Alligator mississippiensis: one gene and its partner. The protein of the gene in region 1 binds, or shares a complex with, the protein of each later gene. Links are inferred from orthologs where the notes say so. Each region holds a gene or a part of one and is shown on either strand. Other genes may lie near its edges. The genes, in order: AP3B1 and AP3M1.

Region 1 (8,758 bases):
TGTTTACTTGCAGAGGATTCCTGAAGTAGATTTTTCTCAGATGATGTTGTTCCTCCCCTTCTTTGTATTAGCTTTCTGTATATGGTTTGTACTCTTTCAAGGCAGTTTCTACATGTTGTTAAATGTTTCTTCATTCTTGTTGCATTGTTAGCATACTCCTGCCCACAATATTTACCTCTACCAACTTTCTTCCTTCCTTCAGTGGCTTGAACTTCACTCTAATGATGCCACATGCTAGTTTTTTTTCTGACTTGGGCATTATTATGACTGCTTAATTATAACTTTGAAACTGCTAAGTTTGCCTAATATTGTATTGGCATCCATTCATTGTTACTAATTAATTTTATGGAACAGCTACCAAATTGCCCATCAAGAATGACAGGCTCCAGGTCCATATCCATGCCCCCTGCCCTCCCCGAGGTGGATTAGTGTGTACTGGGGCCCTGGACAATGGTGGGGGAGGGGGGCAGAGGGCAGGGCCCCTTCCCCTTCTGGTGCTGGTGGGGAGCCTGGGTGGACCCTACCGGGGTAGGGAGGGCACATGTTCCCTTCTTCTTGCTGCTACCTACCCTGCTGTGGTCTCTCTCTTTCCACCCCCACCCCCCCCATGGACATACAGACACAAACATACTCTTCCTGCCATAAACACAGACACATACATACAGAGACGGGCGCACATTCAACTCGCTCTCTGCACATGCACACACATACGCAAATACACTCTCCTGGCCATGAACATGTGTGGGGGCGTGGGCATGCACACATGCACGTGTAGGGGTGTACTCATTTGGAGGGAGAAAAAGATTTGCGGGGGGGTGGTGCTGAGCATGCGTATGCCCTCCCCCCCACACGAAAGTCTGTCGGGGAAGGTGTGGGGGGCGGGGGCAGGGATCAGGAGGTAGTGGAGCAGAGCCAGGCCCAGGCTCAGGGCCAGCTGTACCTATGTGGCCGTGCCTTCCCCTGCGCCTGGGGTCATGGTCCCAGGAAACTGCGGCCCCTTGGGCCCAAACCTGCCCTGGCTGTGGCCCCAGACTGTCGGGGGGGGGGGAGCAGTGTGGGGCCAGCCTCAGCTGTAATTTCAGGCTGAATGGAACAGATGCCCTGGGTCATCCTGGGCGGCTCGTGCATAGGGCAGGGCAGTGCAGCTGTGGGCTAGGCTCTGCCTTTGCTCCTGCCTCCATGCCTTGCTGCTTTGATGGCTTGTGATGCCATGCGCCTCCTGCCTGGCCTGCCCCCAGTGGCACTCTGGTGCTGCACGGCGCGCTGTTGGAGCAGCCACAACAAGGCAGGAGCAGAGGCAGAGCCCAGCACACAGCAGGCACAGCTGCTGAACTCAGACTGGTAGGGCAGGTGGAGTGGCATATGGAAGTGGGGTCCGGGGGTTTGCAGCCTGCCCGCTCCTGGCTAGAGTGCCGAACTGGCTGCAGCACGCCCCCCTGCCCCCACCCCGTGATGCTCTACCCACTGCAGAAAACTTATTTTTTGTCAAAATAAAGTAATCTTAAGATAACGAGGCAGTGTGTTCTAGAGGATGGAGCACTGGGCTGGGATTTGGGAGACCAGAGTTCCATTCCTGAATCTGCCACTGGCTTGCTGGGTGACTTTAGGCAAAAACCTTTAGTCTTTTGTAGATGAAGAACTGAGGCAAAGGAGGGTAATATCAACCCCTGTTAGGACACATGCTTTGAGCTCTGCTGATTAAAAGCAATATATAAGAGCCATGAATATATTAAGATAATTGCTATTTGCTTAATTTTTATCCAAACAACTAGCAGGTTAAATTGCCTTTTGAGCCTATTTTTGTTACTGAAATGGAAGAATAACTTAACTATGATTGAGAATAGTCTGGTCTCCTTGCTGTGGTGCTTCTAGTGATCACAAAAAATAGATGAAAGCCCAGGGGAAAGTGTAGAGTCAGACTTGCCAGGAATTGCATTTAGGTTTACTGAAATGGATTTACAGTTGGATTACCATAAACCTCAGAAGCTAGCAAAGTCTGTGGCAAGGAATATGGGATGTTGTGGATCAACATGCAGAGTATAGTTTTCCATAAGGCAGAGCTCTGTACTTTGATTTTTTTTTAATTTTTTTTTTTAAACATAGTAGAAAAGTGAAAATATGTGGGGGTGCAGGGAAAAGCCTGACACTTGGGTAAACCAGAGTGTGTAATTAGAGGTTTTAAACACTATTTATTTATCTGGTTACACACACGATTAGAAGTTGCCACAGACACTAGAGCAGGGGTGTCCAACCTTTTTGAATGTGGGGCCGGATCACAAACTTTTTATCACCCAGTGGGCTGGCAAGCCATATTCAAAGACCTCACAGGATGTGGTATCACATCAGGAAGTGATGTCACGTGACCTTTGACACCAGTGAAGTTGCAGGAAGTGACAATGAGGGTCTAGAAATGTGGTTTAAAATCCAAAATAAAAACAGTATAAAAGCAAGAATGAAATAATACCAAACACTTGACTAAAATAAATACTTTTGCTTCTAGTCACTTTTTCAATGAATGAAAGAAGCATATTGCAAGTCAACAGATCAGATTTGGAAAAGAGATCAACCAAAGTGGAAACTAATCAAAGCAATAAAATATGGGCATTTTTTAGAATAATCTAGACTATTTATATGTAGGGTGACCATATATCCTCGATTGGCTGAGAGTGTCCCAAATTTTATAGGCTGTCATAGTGTCTTAGCCACTGGAGAAAATTTAAGCAAAAGTACCAGATTGGTGGGAATCTGGGAGCTGGGGGGGGTGTGTGTGTGTGCGCGCGCGCACTTCCAAGCACATATGTGTTGCAGCTGACAGCCAAAGCAGCTATTGGGATGTGCTGGGAAGCATGGTACTTTTGTCACTGGAGCAAGGAGGGCTGTGGGCTGGGGTGGGGACTGGGGTGCTGGCCAGGCTGGGGATGCTGTATGTTCTCTGTCTGCCCTGCTCTGACTCATAGCTCTGGCCCCATTCTGGCACCTGCTACTGCATCCTGGCTGTGTGCTGCTGGGCTAAGGCAAAGTCAGCCACATTGCAGCCCCATGTGGAGAGCCTGGTCTGGCCTGACTGCATCCTGCCCTAAGCAGAGAGGAGAGTATGAGGCTGGGGCTGGCTGCCGCTGCCCAGTCAGGGACTCATGGCCAGGATGCAGCTGCAGGTGTCAGGATGGGGACAGGGGCAGGGCCAGAGCTGTGAGTCAGACAGAACCCATGCAGAGTCCCCAGTCTGGCCAGCGCCCCAGTCTGCAGCCCTGGCTGTGGTGAGAGAGGCACTGTGCTCCTGACAGCTGTTCTGGCTCTGCTCACTGCCCCACACTTCAGCATGCATGCATGTGTGTATGTGCACATGTGTGTGTGTCCTCCCTTGTATCGCTTCATCCTGGGTGTCCTGGTCTGAGGAACAAGTGCAGCCTCTGGGCTGGGCTCCTCCTGCCCAGCCCGGCTCTGGCAACCGCGCACCCCACAGCCCCAGCCCGGCCCTGAGGCGCCCCCAGCTCCGCGTGGGGACTTACCCTGTGCCTCTATCCACCACATATGCAGGCAGGACGCGGGCCATGCTGCAGCTCCCCTGGCCGTGCACCGGGGGCAAGGGGCGGAGCCAGAGAAGAAGTTGCATGTGCTGTCCCCTCCCCAGCTCATCCAGTCACGCGTGGCTGGGGCAGCGGCAATGGGACCCGGCTCACTGATGAGCCCAGCCCTGCGGGGGTGAGCAGCTCCCCTCCCCTCGCTGCCAGCTGGGGCCTGCAGGCCGGCCCTGCCTGCCTCGCCTCTGCCCCACCGCCGCCGCCTCCGTGGAGCAGGCGCAAGGACGCCTCCCCTGTCCCAAGTGAGGGACCTCGGGCTAAAGAAAATGGCTTGGGTTGCATGGCGGCCCGCAGGCAGCATGTTGGATAAGCCTGCACTAGAGCAGGGGTATGCAACATGGTGGATCCAGCTGGCAGCCAGGCTCCATTTCCCAGCAGCCCCTGCAGCCAGTTCCCATGAAGGAAACCCTGGCAGTGGTGGTGTCCTGACAGCATGGGGCCAGGGTCTCCATGGAGATTTGGCCCCAGCAGTGCTGGCAGGGTGCGCAACTGGGACAGGGCTGCTGGGAAATGGAGTCCACCCCGGGCCAGACTTTGCCTGCCCCTACACTAGGGTATATTTATGTTGTTTAAGTAAAAAAAAAAAAGTGAGTAAAACATTCATACTGTGTTTCTAGATAATAGTTTAGTATAGTTTTCTTACGTGAAGACTTGTCTTTCTGGTTTTCTACATACTAAACTATAATTACTTTCAAATCTGAAAAGATTGTGTTCAGTTGTCAACTCATTTGTAATTTCCTTTGCTGACAGGTGGACTGATATGATAAGAACACTGTTTGTAGAAATCCATGAACTAAAGACCCTTTCTTTTCATTAATGAACATAACACCCCCGCCCCCTGCATTTTGAAGCTTGTCTTTCTGTTTTAAGATTTTGATTAAGGAAATGAAATGTTTTGTTGTATCTTCCTGTTTCTGAGATTATGAAAATATTGCTGTGCTGCTTAGTAAACAATGTAAAGGCTACACGGCTGAAACAAGTATTTGGCAAGTTCTACTGGTGATTGTATTTAGCTGATAAGATGTATTTTTCAAGGAAAATGACCTTTGCAATCTGTATAGCATTTTTTCCCTTCAAGTTAACAGTGGAGGGAGTGAATATCCTGTTACCTCACAATAATTTCTTTTTAATTCCTGTTCAGTCTCAGTTGGCATTAAGTAACTTGGGTTAGCTGATTCGCTGACTACTTTCTTTACATTTGAAAGAATGGAGCAAGATTCTTCACTGCTCAGTAAAATTAATGAGGCTTCTGGATGTATTAAATCTGTTCTTGAAAAAGCAGGAAGCCTCCAGGTTGCACTGAAGCTGGAGCCTACTATAGAAGAGAAAGGGCTTACCAATAGTTCTGATGATCCATGTGTACTCATGGAACTAAATCTCACTGTGTAAGTATCCTTGATCCTGAGATGCTTGCCCATCTTTTCTTCTTGCTTCCCATGTAAATAGACTGCAGTTTTTATTGGTTGACATGTGAGCAATGTAAACTTGAAATAGCTTTCTTGTAATTTCAACAATTAATGCAGAAATGGTGTTTTCAAATAATTTAATCATGCTGTAGTTTTTTAAGACTTCTGAAGAATGGTGTGAAAAAAAAAAGTTTACAGTAGTAAAGCTGATGTATTTTATTGTTTATGACTTTGTAAACTGTTGTGGTTTACATCTTCTAATCTCCTAGTTATTTAAATATTAAAATATTTACTGTGGATAAACAGTATTATGACACATGACACTTTTTCCTATTAAGCATCTTTGTCCCATTCTTTCTCTTTCTTCCCATTCTTTCTATATTGCCAGTATCTTGACTGCTGTTTTCTAGGGTCATATGTGCCCTTTCAACAGCTACTAAATGTTTTTGGCTTATAGTCATCCTTTTCACCCAGGTCTTGGTTCTCTTGTTGTTTCCAGCTGATAAGCTCCCAATTCATAGTAGAAACACTTGTTATTAATCATGAAGTGCATGGCCTTGCACTTGTGTTCTATGTAGTTTCATCCAGTTTCAATTGCTTCAGTTCTCCAGGTGATTCAGTTGATGTATGATGTTCCAATCCTCTGATGCTTACAACTTCGGTGTCATCAGCAAATACTATTAGCATACTCCTATTTTGTGTGCCAAGCTAACTAAACTTGTAAGTGAGGTCTCTTCCAAGACCTGTCTTGAGAGGAGCTACTCTAGCAACTTCTCTTCAGCATTGATGCTTACCCTTTCAGTGTAACCGGTTGTTTCCCCTTCAGCCAATCCTTACCCACCTTAGAGTTGTTCTAACTCCCCATCTCCATTCACTAATAATTCTCCTGTTGTACTATTTCAAATGCTTTACTGAAGTCAAGATGCATTAGAACCGCAACTTCTTTGTCTAAACAAAATCAGCTATCATATTGACAAAGGGAAGTTTCATGTTTTATTTCCCATATCTTTAATTATTTCCTTTAAAACTTGTTTTGAATCTTTGCATACTGCTTGAACTAAGACAGGTATGTCTGTAGCTACTTGGATACCTTTTCCTTTCTTCCTTTTGCATAGTTATCTCACGTGCTGTTTTCAGAGTAAAAAAGCTCTCCTTGACTTCTTTGACACTTCTGTTTATTTGCTACAGGACCTGCAGTTTAGTGTGCCAGTCTTTCAATTTTTTTTGTCCTCCTCAATGTGAATAGATTAAAGCTTTTTAATCTTTGCTGCTTCTTCAGATGTGGTAACTTGGATTATTATTCACAATGTCAATAGCCATGCCACCTTTTTCGTCCATATCAGTGTCTTTATGGCAAATTGTAGCCAAGCAAGTATGCATATGTGCTTTGACCCATTTTTATAACCTATGTGTTTTGGTGTGGTTTTAGGTATGGCTTTTGGGCCATACCGAGATTGTCCTTCTCCTCTCTTTCCTGTTTTCACTGCATAGTAGCTCTACTTAATCTTGCCTTGTTTTCTTTTTTTATGTATATGGCTGAAGAACCTTTTGCCATTTGTTTTAATTACCATTGCAAAATTTCTTGGCTTGTATTTTGGTAACTTACTTTTATCCCAGTGCTTCTTGATCTCAAAAGCCTAAAGTACGTCTCTTCTTGCTTGATTAGTTCTGTTTTCCATACCTGGTAGGCTCTCTGCTTGCTTTTGTTTTTTTTGGGAGGGGGGGAGTAACTGTTCTTACAGTTAATTTTTTTGTCTTTGGCTGGTTTATAATTGTAGCACTTTTTGGCTTTGAGAAATTTTAAGTCCTTTTCTGTGATGTTTCCTAGACCCCTAAAGAGCAATTGAAATTATTATGGACTCAGATTTGCCCATGTCTGTCTTGAAGTGTGGTGCCAAAACTGGATGCAGTACTTGAGGTGAGGCTCTGCCAGTACAGAATTGTTTCCTTTGACTTGCAAGTGACACCTCTGTTAATACAGCTCAGTATGCTATTATAGGCTTATATTGGCAAAAAGAGCACACAGTTGGCTGGCTACTGCTTATGGTCTACTATATCCTCTGGGTCTTTGGGCAGGACAGCAGTATAGCCAGTCATTTCCCAGTTTGTTTGTACGTGTGATTCTTCCAGGCTAAGAACAGAACCTTGCACTTGTCCTTTACTTAATATGAAAATCTATTCTAAAAAAAATCCTGCTCTGGCAGCACCCTGTCCCTGTGAGTAGATAAAAACTCTTGTAGTTAGTAAGTTTAGAACTGAGTTGTAGGATAGGGAGGGAACTCAAGGATTTCAACCCCCTGCACAAATGTAGGATATGCTGTTCTTAAACCATCCCAAACATGCCTATCCATCTCTTTTGTGAAACATGCCTATCCATCTCTTTTCATCACCCAAATGAGGAAATTCCTTGTTCCTTTTATCTTATGGTCTTCACATGTATGACTTTTATTTCCCCCTGCAGTTTTATCTAAATCTTGCTTCTCTCAGTGTCTGTTTTCCTGCATCATTCTTAAAAAGAAGTGCTTAGAACTGGAAGCACTAAAATTGCTGAGTCCTAACCCGTGCTGAGTTGAGTGATATCATTACCTTCCATGTCTTAAATGCAATACTTAGGTTAATACAGCCTAAGAATGCATCTGTTTGTTTCCTGTTCTTTCTGGGGGGGTTGTTTTGTTTTTTGCAATGGCATTACATTGCTAACGTGTGTTGAGTTTGATCCATCATGGCCCTTAAGGACTCATTTGGCAGTGTTACTGTCTAACGGTAGGGTAAGCAGTGTTACTTTCTGGCCACCTATCCCTTATTCTGTCTGTAAACATCCTCTCTCCTCAGGTTACACCTTATTTTTTTTGTCCTTGAATTATTTTATTTTGTTGTCTGCAGCCCAGTTCTACAACTTTTATTGTAGATCCTATTGATTTCTACGAGTCCCCTGGGACTTACATTTTTGGATTGCTTTAAATGCTTAAAAATAAGGGCTGTGAAGGGGTCTTTCATTGTGATAAAGTACCTTAGCTGTATTATGAGCTATGACTCTTCAGTTGAGCAGGGTCAAGCTTCTGATGGAGACCAAAGGTGAAAAACTGTGGTTTTCCACAGTTGTGGAAACCAAAGGGAAATGATGTAGACAGCAGCTGTAGGTTGCTACATGCATGACTGAAAAATTCTTCAGCTATTGGGGTACTTTGGCTTTGCATACAAGGTAATACTCGAGAATTTCAAAGTAAGTGGAGGGTGGAGATAACAGATAATGGCTTAATGAACAATGGCCCTTGTTGAAAGCTGGCATTTCATTGAATTGCTGGTTTTTAAAGTGAGCTGATGATGGGTCTAGGTCCTAATGGGTATCAACCATGACATCTAGCACTAACGTTATCACAACAGCTGGACCTTTTGTTGTTGAGGAAGATCAAGTGTGGGTCTTTTACTAAATAGAGGAGACAGCCCCATGACAGATGAACCTAATAGCAGCTTTCAACTACCTGAAGAGTGAAAAGGATGAAGCTAGACTGTTCTCATTGGTGGCAGATGACAGAATAAGGAACAACAGTCTCAAGTTGCAGCAAGGGAAATTTAGGTTAGCTATTAGGAAGAACTTTCTTGGTAGTAGGATAGTAAAGCACTGGAACCAGGTTATGAAGAGTTTGTGGAATTGCCATCCTTGGAGGGTTTTAAGACCCAGGTAGACAAAACCTTGGCTGGGCTGATTTAGTTATGGATGGTCCTGCTTTGAGGAGGGGTTTGGATCAGATCAGGGGGTTCCAAACTGGT
Region 2 (8,903 bases), on another chromosome or scaffold:
ATACTAAGAATCCCCCACCACCCACCCTCTAAATACATTAATATTATTACACAGTTACCAATACAACTGTGGATTTTCTTATCTGTACCAAATCAATCAAGGTCTAATTTCAACCATGGGGATGAACATTGATTCTTTCTACAAAAAAAATTGAGGAAAGAATGCGTCAGTGTGTGCTTGATAACTGAATCTAAAGAGGAACAGTTGCTTAACTGGAGAAAACAATATTGCACTTCGTACTTTTAATGATAAGCATCTCCTGCCAAATGTAATGCTTTCGCATTCTCCATGTGGACAAATCAATTTGCTCAGAAAACAAATCATGAACAGACATCATGATCATCCAATCAATTCAGGAGCTGTTGAGCCACCAGAGGAGCATAATAATGTAACAGAGATTACTATAAAACAGAAAAAGGTTGGAATTTACACCTAAAATTTAAGCCAATATTATAACAAGGTTGGAGGAGGATTAAATTTCCTGCCACTCCACCACCAGCAGAGCTCAATTATGCTGTAACAAGGTTACCTGGTACATTGTATCCATTGTGTGGGTAAAATCTTACAAAATCATCTTTGGAGAGTTTATCAGTTGTTACAGGCATATAGGAATAGCTTCTTTAAAAAAAAAAAAAAGAAAGAAAAAAAAAGAAGAACTTTATTAATGAAGCATGGGGTTACAAGCAGATAAATGTACCTGCTTCCATGTTTATTTCTCTCTAAATATGTATATACTGCTTAAGCTGAATGAAATGCAGTTTGGTTTGGGCTATGTAAGCTTGAGGTTGATTTTCCAGCCTTTCCTTGTTTTAACAGCATATTTAAAGAGTGTTGACATTAACTGTAGCTTTTCTAACACAAGTTTATATTTTTACTTATAATTTGTTTTTTGTTGGGTTGGTTTTTTGGGGGTTTTTGCTGTACAGCTATATTTTTCCTCTTCTATTATCTGCAACTGTCCTTGCAACTATTATTAGACTTGAAAAAGTCACTCAGCTGCCAAGAAACAAGTTACTGATATATGCTGCCTTCTGTTTTTACACTAATGTCACAAATTGCTTCCATAGGAATAGCTAATTCAGCAGAGCCAAGACTATGTAAAGCCACTATTCTCATGATACTGTTTGAGCTCCTGTGCCTGACACTAAATTTTTCAATCAATTAATAATTACCACTGGATCCGGCCATTTCAATTTCAAGTCATTTTAATTGATTTAATTGATGACAGTTGTATCTACCCAATATTTATTGCCAAATCTAATACAAAAGTCCTGAAAATACATCTAGGCAATTCATGCTCTTGTTTTGCATATGCTTTGGGCTACCTCTTATTTAAGTTAAATAACAAAAAAAACCCAAGTTCCAGTTTTAGTGTAGTGCTAATCAGGAGACTCCTCAATGCAGTAGTGTTCCTTTTATAGCAATGAATTATGAATGATTAATTATTAATGTTAGCAACACTCTAAAATATGTAAAGTGCTCTAAAACAAACTTCCTTGGGTGAATTTGATATCTTTTATTAGACCAACCCAAATGGTTGGAGAATAGTTATTAAGCAAGCTTTCGGGTTCAAAAACCCTTCGTCAGGCTAAGGACGCTGCAGCAGATGCAACAACAAACTTTGCATGCGTTAATTAATTATCTAATTAATTAATTAGATTAACTTACTCTAGCATCCTGGCTAAATGAGAAAAGATAAGAAGTGTCTACTAGTTATTTCATTTGTTTTTACTTCATATTTTTAAACACCCAGAGAAAACAAATATTATTTAATGATCAAAATATCTAATACAAACAAATTAGAATAAGAATTCAAAGGTAGATTTGCTCTTAACACTACAAGCCAGATATGCAGGGCAGAATCGCAGTCAGAAACTTAAATATCTTAAGTAAATCTTGGAAATCATCAGCCCCACCTTGCCCTACAACTGTTAGCAGCCTCCATCCCCTGCTCCTGTCTCAAACATGCTTTCTACCATCCTGTTTCTTATGCATGAGGATAACTCTCTATCATAATTTGCAGGCAAGGTTCTTTGAGTAGATGTGATATCTTTTATTAGACCAATTAAGCAGTTGGACAAAAGTTCTCAGCAAGCTTTTGGGTTCAATCACCCTTCTTACAACCAAAAAAAAAAAAAACAGCTATCATCATTTGCAAACTTGTCACATTATCTGTTTTAAATCTTTCTTGAATACTTCTCTTTTTCTGCCATGCCTACAAAATCACTCCCATCTGGCATTGGTTAAGGAAATGTCCAGATGAGACTTCTATTCTGATAATGTTATCAGCTTCATTCCTGCATTATTCACCCATCTCCAACGTGTTTACTTGCTCTGTCCATTTTTCATCCTATCTAACACAGGGAAGTTTGCTAGTGGCTTCAGCCAGGCCATAATTTCACTCCTAGAGTGAATAAAGACCATTTTCCTAGTTACTTATCTGCACAGTAATCTGTACAATAATGGATTTCAGTCTTGACTTGGGTTTCTGGAGGCTACTATAATAAAATAATAACACAAAAGGGGTATGGATATCAGCTACATGCATATATATAAGAATCACAGAATCATAGGAAATTGGGGTTGGAAGGGAGGTCCTCAGGAGGTCATCTAGTCCAAACCCCTGCTCACAGCAGGTCCATCAACAACTACCTCATCCCAGCCAAGGTTTTGTCTGGCTAGGTCTTAAAAACCTCTAAGAATGGAGATTCCACAACCTCTCTGGGTAGCCTGTTCCAGTGCTTTACTACCCTCCTAAACTTCCCTTGCTGCAAGTTGAAACCACTGCACCTTGTTCTGTCATCTGCCAGCACTGAGAACAGTCCATCTCCACCCTCTTTGGAACCACCATTCAGGTAGTTGAAGGCTGCTATTTTATCCCCTCTCAGTCTCCTCTTCTCTTGATTAAATAAGCCCAATTCCCTCAGCCTCTCCTTGTAAGTCATGTGTCCCAGCCCCCTAACTATTTTTGTTACCCTCCACTGGACTTTATCCACAAATTATTTCCAATTTATTCACATCTTTTCTGTAGTGGGGTCTCAAAACTGGACACAATACTCCAGATGTGACCTCACCAATGCTGAATAGAGGAAAATACATCTATACATATATATATCTGTCTACAGCAGGGGCAGGCAACTATTTCAGGCAGAGGGCCGCTTACTGAATTTTGGCAAGCCATTGAGGGCTGCATGACAGGCAGCCAGGGGCAGATAAATACTAATTTTCTAAATTTTTTAGGGGCCCCATGGGCCAGATAGAATGGCCTGGCAGGCTGTATCCAGCCTGCAGGCCGCATTTTGCCCACCCCTAGTCTACGGGGTTCAAATTAAATTTCAACTCTGGGGAGGGGGTGGGGGAGGGCGGAGGGGAGAATCTGAAAAAATAACAGAAATTAAACCAGTTCATTGATTAACAAGTCCATCTAAGTGAAGGAGCAATCTGATCAAGTTATGATCTTCGAATCTTACAGGGGAGCTCTTGTCTCTTATGGGTGGGCTCAGCCCTGCCCCAAACTCCCCCTTAATTTGCACCCTGTCTATCAATATCTATCTATTATTATCTATATCTATCTATTACATTAAAGAAACAGATTCCCACAATGCAATTTGCCCTAAAACATATTCATAATAAGGTAGTGTAAGAGTGATGATGTAGCTATGATGGTTCAGCAATTATGTGAGAGAGAAGGATTTCTTAGGGTGATATTTTTTATTGAACAAACTGTGTGGTAGGATCAGAGGTTTCCCAGGCTAGAACCTTGTCTGGTTTTGCATTTTTCCTATCTGACAGAAGGAGTCTGGCTAATGGCTTCACCTAGGTCATGTCTAGCATGGGAAAGCTTGTCTGACTCTACTGGATAGTTGGTCCAATAAAAAAATACCTCCCTAAGAAGTCATTGCCTCTCAGATAAGAAGTTCATAGTTACATCTAGGGCCTCTCAATCCAGGTTCCCTAGAAGCACTGTGCAAACAGTGAGTCGAAGGGCTCCCCGAAGGCTTGGGGAAGGCAGCATCGTTTGAAACCCAGTTGTAGCGTGAACGGAGATGCCCAGCTCTGGGCTTGTGCCAGCCATGCTGGGCACCCCAGAAGTGACGCTCTCCTAGCTGGCAGCAGCAGCTGCGCACAGATCCGTTGTGCAGGCTAGTGCTTGTCTTCTCCTCTGCAGCCCTTGAGGGAAAAGCTGTTTTTTGGGGGGCCTGGGTGCTCTTTGATCTGCTCTTTTGGCCCCGTCTTTTCTCTGCCCCCCACTTTGATGGACCTGAGCAGATGCACGGGCTTAGGTCTGTGGGCACTTGAGCCTCAGCAGGCATCACTGAGGAACGCGAATCATCCACACCCACGTGCAGCCAGGCTACGCGTGGCAGAGGCAGCGCCCGAGATCCGCTGCCGCCGCAACCGCGTGGGCTCGGAGCCCCTGCAAGCAGCGACCGCCCGCCCGCCCGCCGGCAGCGAGCCGCTCGCGTTTGCCCAGGGCACGTGCGCCCGCCCCCGCGTTACCTCAGCCGCTCGTGCTCCCGCTTCGGCTTCTTGGCTCGCGGCTCGCCTGCTGCCATCTCCGCACCCGCGTGCGGCAGCCCCGGCTCGGCGCGATCTCCCCTCAGGCAGCAGCGGGGCAGAGTCGGCTACGCAAAGCGCCTGATCCGGGCCGGGCCGGGGGCGGGACGCTGCCGCACACGTGCGAGAGGCCTCCCACCGCCCCGCGGGCAGCACGGCTCCAGGGGCCGCCTAAGGCCGAGCACCCCGCGCCCTCACGCAGTCCGCGGAAGCCGGCGGCAGGGCACGCGTTTGCTGCAGGCAGTCACATAGTCACCTGCGCCGGCCGGGGAGGAGGTGCGGGGTGGGGGCCTCGGAGCCATATTTGCCAGCGCTGCGGGGGGAGCGGGAGCGGAGCCGGGTCGGGCCGGGCAGGGCTAGTGCGGGCTCCGGCGCAGGTGAACGGGGTCGCGCGGGGAGAGCCGGGGCCTGGAAAAGGAAGGGTGTTTTTTTTTCTGGTAGGTGTTGAAAGCTGATGCTTCTGGAAATGACCTCCCTTTGTCCTGCCCGTGTTGCTCTGAGCCTGGAAGTCCCGGCCTGGCTCGTCACAATTTATTACTTCATTAGTTAATGTTCTTGGAGGCTATAAAACGCTCAGGGTGGCTGTGCTTTACTGCAGGGTTTTGGCCGTCTCCGGACAGAGGAGCGTGTGCTCGGGATAACCATCTGGGAAGTAGCAGGGAAAATTAACAAGGGCATTTTATGTTTTCTGTTTATAGACGTCTGCCGCATTATGCGCTTTCGTTTTGGCTGGGAAACCTTCCCTTTGTCCCTTTTGACTTAAAAATGTTTCCAGCTGGCAGCCTAGACTTGGTTTCATGAAGGAATTTGACATTGAAAAAAATATTGCATCTTAGTAATGATGTGGTTGAGAGTTAAGGGGTGTATCTAGCTGGTTTTCTTGGTCATGGTGTGAAAACACTACTTATTTATTAACTGGGTTGGTCCGGGTTTGTTTCTTAATGGAGTCTTTTACTGCCGTTGGCTTAAAGTTAAATACGGAAAGCCTCTTGTGCTGTAGGAGAAAACAAGAGACTGCTGTGTTAATGCTTCCTGTCTCTTGCAGTTTTACAGTTGTGTGAACCCCTATCCACATCAGATTTATTTGAGATGTTTAATGGTAAAGCCTCAGCATTATGACTAAGTTCAAATGTGCAATGTTTAACTTTAAAAATATTAAAGCAAGAGACTCTACATATAAAAAAAAAATAGCCTTAACTTTCTGATTATGTGTAAGTAGAACATTTTAAGTATGGAAATTGAGGCTCTGATGTTGAATTCAGACATAAGAGAATGCCTGAATTGTTGGGGATCGTAGTGCATTTCAGTGTGAACTGAGACTTAAAGGTTTTTAGGTGTCTAGAGCCTTTTGCAATTGATAGGAGTAAGATGCTTACAAAAATTTTGAGACTTTAGGCCTGGATGTCTGAAAGTTCATTTGAAGAGTATTCTTCAATTGGTGGATCTGCTGTAGTTGTCTAAACCAGGGGTGGGCAATTATTTCGGGCGGAGGACTGCTTACTGAGTTTTAGCAAGCCATCAAGGGCCGCATGACAGGCAGCCACGGCAGATAAATATTAATTTTCTAAATTTTTTAGGGGCCTCGCAGGCCAGATGGATGCGACCTGCCAGGCCATTCTAGTCCATGTTTTGCCCACCCCTGGTCTAAACCGTGTGAAATGGGAAAACCAGACTTCTATGCAAAAACTTAAACTACAATTTTGGTAATAGCAAGTTGTTTCATAGTAATTCAGGTAAGAACTTCCTTATCTTTTATTAAGTATTTTTTTTTTTATCATCCCCATATGGATTTCACAGGAGCAAGATGGCCCATGGTATCTAGATGGCAAGGAAAGGCCTTTTTTTTCCTAATTTGCAAACACTTAAGGTGCCAGCTTTTCTAGAGACCACTAAATGCATACCCCTTGCCTTTTAAGTCTAAGTTTCATGTAGCCTGTGATGTGGGAACATAAAGTAAACTAAATCTGTTGCCTGCTATGTCTTTAGAATTCTTGGCTTTGTGTTTTGGCATGTTAACAAACCAAGGAACCATATCTCCCTTGTTAACACTCGGGTTGTTTCTCTGAAGGCTTGTCTGTTAGGAACAGGGAGAAGCAACATCAAGGAGAACCCAACTTTGAGCTACCCAGCAGCAGCGCAGTTCCCTACTGGCTGGAAGCTATACCCTCAGTGCAGCCAGGAAACAAGGGGCTAGGGAGGAGTGACAGCAGCAGCATGAATGCAGTTCCCAGCTGGAAGCTGTGCTTGTGCCCTAACCAGGGAGTCAGGGGTTAGGAAGAGTGGTGTTAGTGTCGGCTCCCAGCTGCCTGACCCAGTCATAGGCACAGGCAAATCCCCCTTGCTGCTGATGTGCCACCAAAGCCACCCAGTGCATGCTGGACTTGAGATGAGTTGTTCTGGCCTGTGGCTTTAAAAAGTTCCTAGCCCCTGGTTTATGGGGTACAGTGCTCCTCTGGGCAAAGGGATTCTAGGTTCCAGTCCCTATTCCCAAGGTTATTGGCTTGTTGTTATTATTATTTAACAATGATATTTGCATGGGAACTGCAGGAAGAGTCCTGGGTGCTGGGATCAACCCAGGTTTTCCTTCCATTAGTGAAGCGGTGTAACCACTAGTGTACAGTGCCAGTCTCTCTCTTGTTCTCTTTCTGGCCTCATATCTCCTGTGATGGATGCCCAGTGGAGAGGAGGAGGAAGAGAATGTTTTACCCAGCTTATCCTTTAGTGTGGCAGAATATTCTCCTAAGAAGGGGATTTGAATCCCCCAGGGGACCTAAAATTCAGGGTTCCTGATTGCGGTGCAAGTACTGTGATATGTTGCGTTTAAAAAAAATGTTGGCTGTTGTAGCCCAATGTTTTTGAGCTAAGTATGAGTTAAGCATGCTCTGAGCACATATAATGCATCTTTGGGGATGAGTTCATCCTTGCATACCCCATAATGCTAAATGCCTCACATTTGGCTATGCTCAGAAGGTAAGTGCAGAACCTTGTAATTTTGCAGTCCAAAATGGAAGCATGGTTTGAACTTGGACATCTTCTGAGGTTTTGGAGCTTGTAGAGCAGGGCCAAACTTAATTACTGTTTGAAACTTGGCCAGTTAAATTATACCAAAATCTTGTTTAGACTCCTGCAGGACCATACTGGATCTTGACTCACCTGGCAGGTTTGAAGCAGAGCCAGGAGTGGAACCCACATCTCCTGAATTTCTACCTAGTGCCTTAGCTACAAAACCATCTCTCTCTGTTGTGCTTTCACGTGCAGCTTTGTTTATCTCAGCAGGCACCTGCATTGTTGCAAGTTGCTGGCATGCAATATAGCATCTTGCACATTGCCTGTGTATACTGCTCTCTGCCTTCTTTTATAACCATAGTTGTAACTTTTCAGTACATTCTAGGTAATGATTAGTAACAGTGTAAAGTGGCATCATACCTTTAATAGTAATATATCTGTTTAAGGGTTTACAGTCATTGGGCATCTAATTAAACACTGTCTGTAATAATGTAATAGATGTTATTTACCTTTGATAGTATGCCTGTTCCTGTGTCCTCTTATCAGCTCTGAAAGGAGTTGGAGATTGTAATGTTTTTCCATATTGTTACATGAAAGAGTTTAAGCAAACAACAGTAATACAAATACAGTACAACTGATTAATCCAAACTGATTAATCAAAGAGCTGTCCAGTGCACTAAGGAAATAAATTGTTTATAGGGGAAATAATTTGTCTATCAGTTGTAATTCAGAGGTATTAATTGTAGAAAACAGCTTTAAAAAAGTGGATGTTAATAACTTGGGGTGAATGGTGTCCCTTTCTTATTACTGAGTCATTTATGTATGTGGACAGGAAAATTGGACTCTTCAAGTTCAGCAAGGCATTTGCATGACTAAATGTCCCTTTGTAAGATTCAGAACGCGTTGTACTAAGTCAAAAACAGAATAGCTTAAGGGCTAAAAATCAATTTAAGAGGTAGGCTCTCTCTCCCTTCTCCCCCAGTGGTTTAGAGGAGATGGTGGCCTGCATTCAAACATAATGAAATGGTGATCTCAAAACTATTGAAAGTACAGATCTAAAAGATGGAGTAAAATACTGGAAAGGAAAAGCTGGCTTTCAAGCAAGTTGTAAACTGAACATTCAAATGTATCTGTTTAACAGCTAAGCATAGTAATAATGGTAATTATAAAATGAATGGGAATGATAAACCTGCTTACTGGAAGTCAGTATGCAGCCTCTTCCATTTATAAAAATGTTTGTTTGTTTGTTTGTTTGTTTTTTAATTTAACACATTTGACATAGTCTTTAGCATTTAGTGCTTTGCTCCTTGGACCACTAACAAATGAGTCTGTGAACAACT

The links.
Region 2: the proteins of AP3B1 (region 1) and AP3M1 are in contact, whole or in part, in a cryo-EM structure (PDB 9C5A), measured with the Homo sapiens proteins. The link is inferred for Alligator mississippiensis from reciprocal best matches to the Homo sapiens genes AP3B1 and AP3M1. Residues at the interface, in NP_003655.3 of Homo sapiens: Leu60, Lys64, Val67, Gly68, Ile70, Ala71, Lys72, Gly73, Ile92, Glu93, Lys96, Leu97, Val100, Arg104, Glu107, Asn128, Gln129, Leu130, Arg137, Arg143, Ser163, Pro164, Tyr165, Lys168, Asn169, His172, Gln175, Lys176, Leu202, Ser206; in NP_001307192.1 of Homo sapiens: Met1, Phe15, Leu16, Glu17, Trp20, Lys21, Ser22, Val23, Gln26, Val42, Glu43, Asn44, Val45, Pro46, Pro47, Val48, Ser50, Tyr55, Ser58, Ile59, Tyr60, Gln71, Thr72, Glu73, Val74, Pro75, Pro76, Leu77, Phe78, Ile80.

Annotation. Positions count from the first base shown.
Region 1 is NC_081826.1:256,610,884-256,619,641, reverse strand, and holds the start of AP3B1 (AP-3 complex subunit beta-1), read left to right. Parts: upstream 1-4,738; 5' UTR 4,739-4,787; coding exon 4,788-4,966; intron 4,967-8,758. UniProt on the Homo sapiens protein: Subunit of non-clathrin- and clathrin-associated adaptor protein complex 3 (AP-3) that plays a role in protein sorting in the late-Golgi/trans-Golgi network (TGN) and/or endosomes.
Region 2 is NC_081829.1:26,754,090-26,762,992, reverse strand, and holds the start of AP3M1 (AP-3 complex subunit mu-1), read left to right. Parts: upstream 1-4,879; 5' UTR 4,880-4,994; intron 4,995-6,134; 5' UTR 6,135-6,290; intron 6,291-8,903. Other genes in the region: ADK (adenosine kinase), read right to left, coding at 4,501-4,556. UniProt on the Homo sapiens protein: Part of the AP-3 complex, an adaptor-related complex which is not clathrin-associated. The complex is associated with the Golgi region as well as more peripheral structures.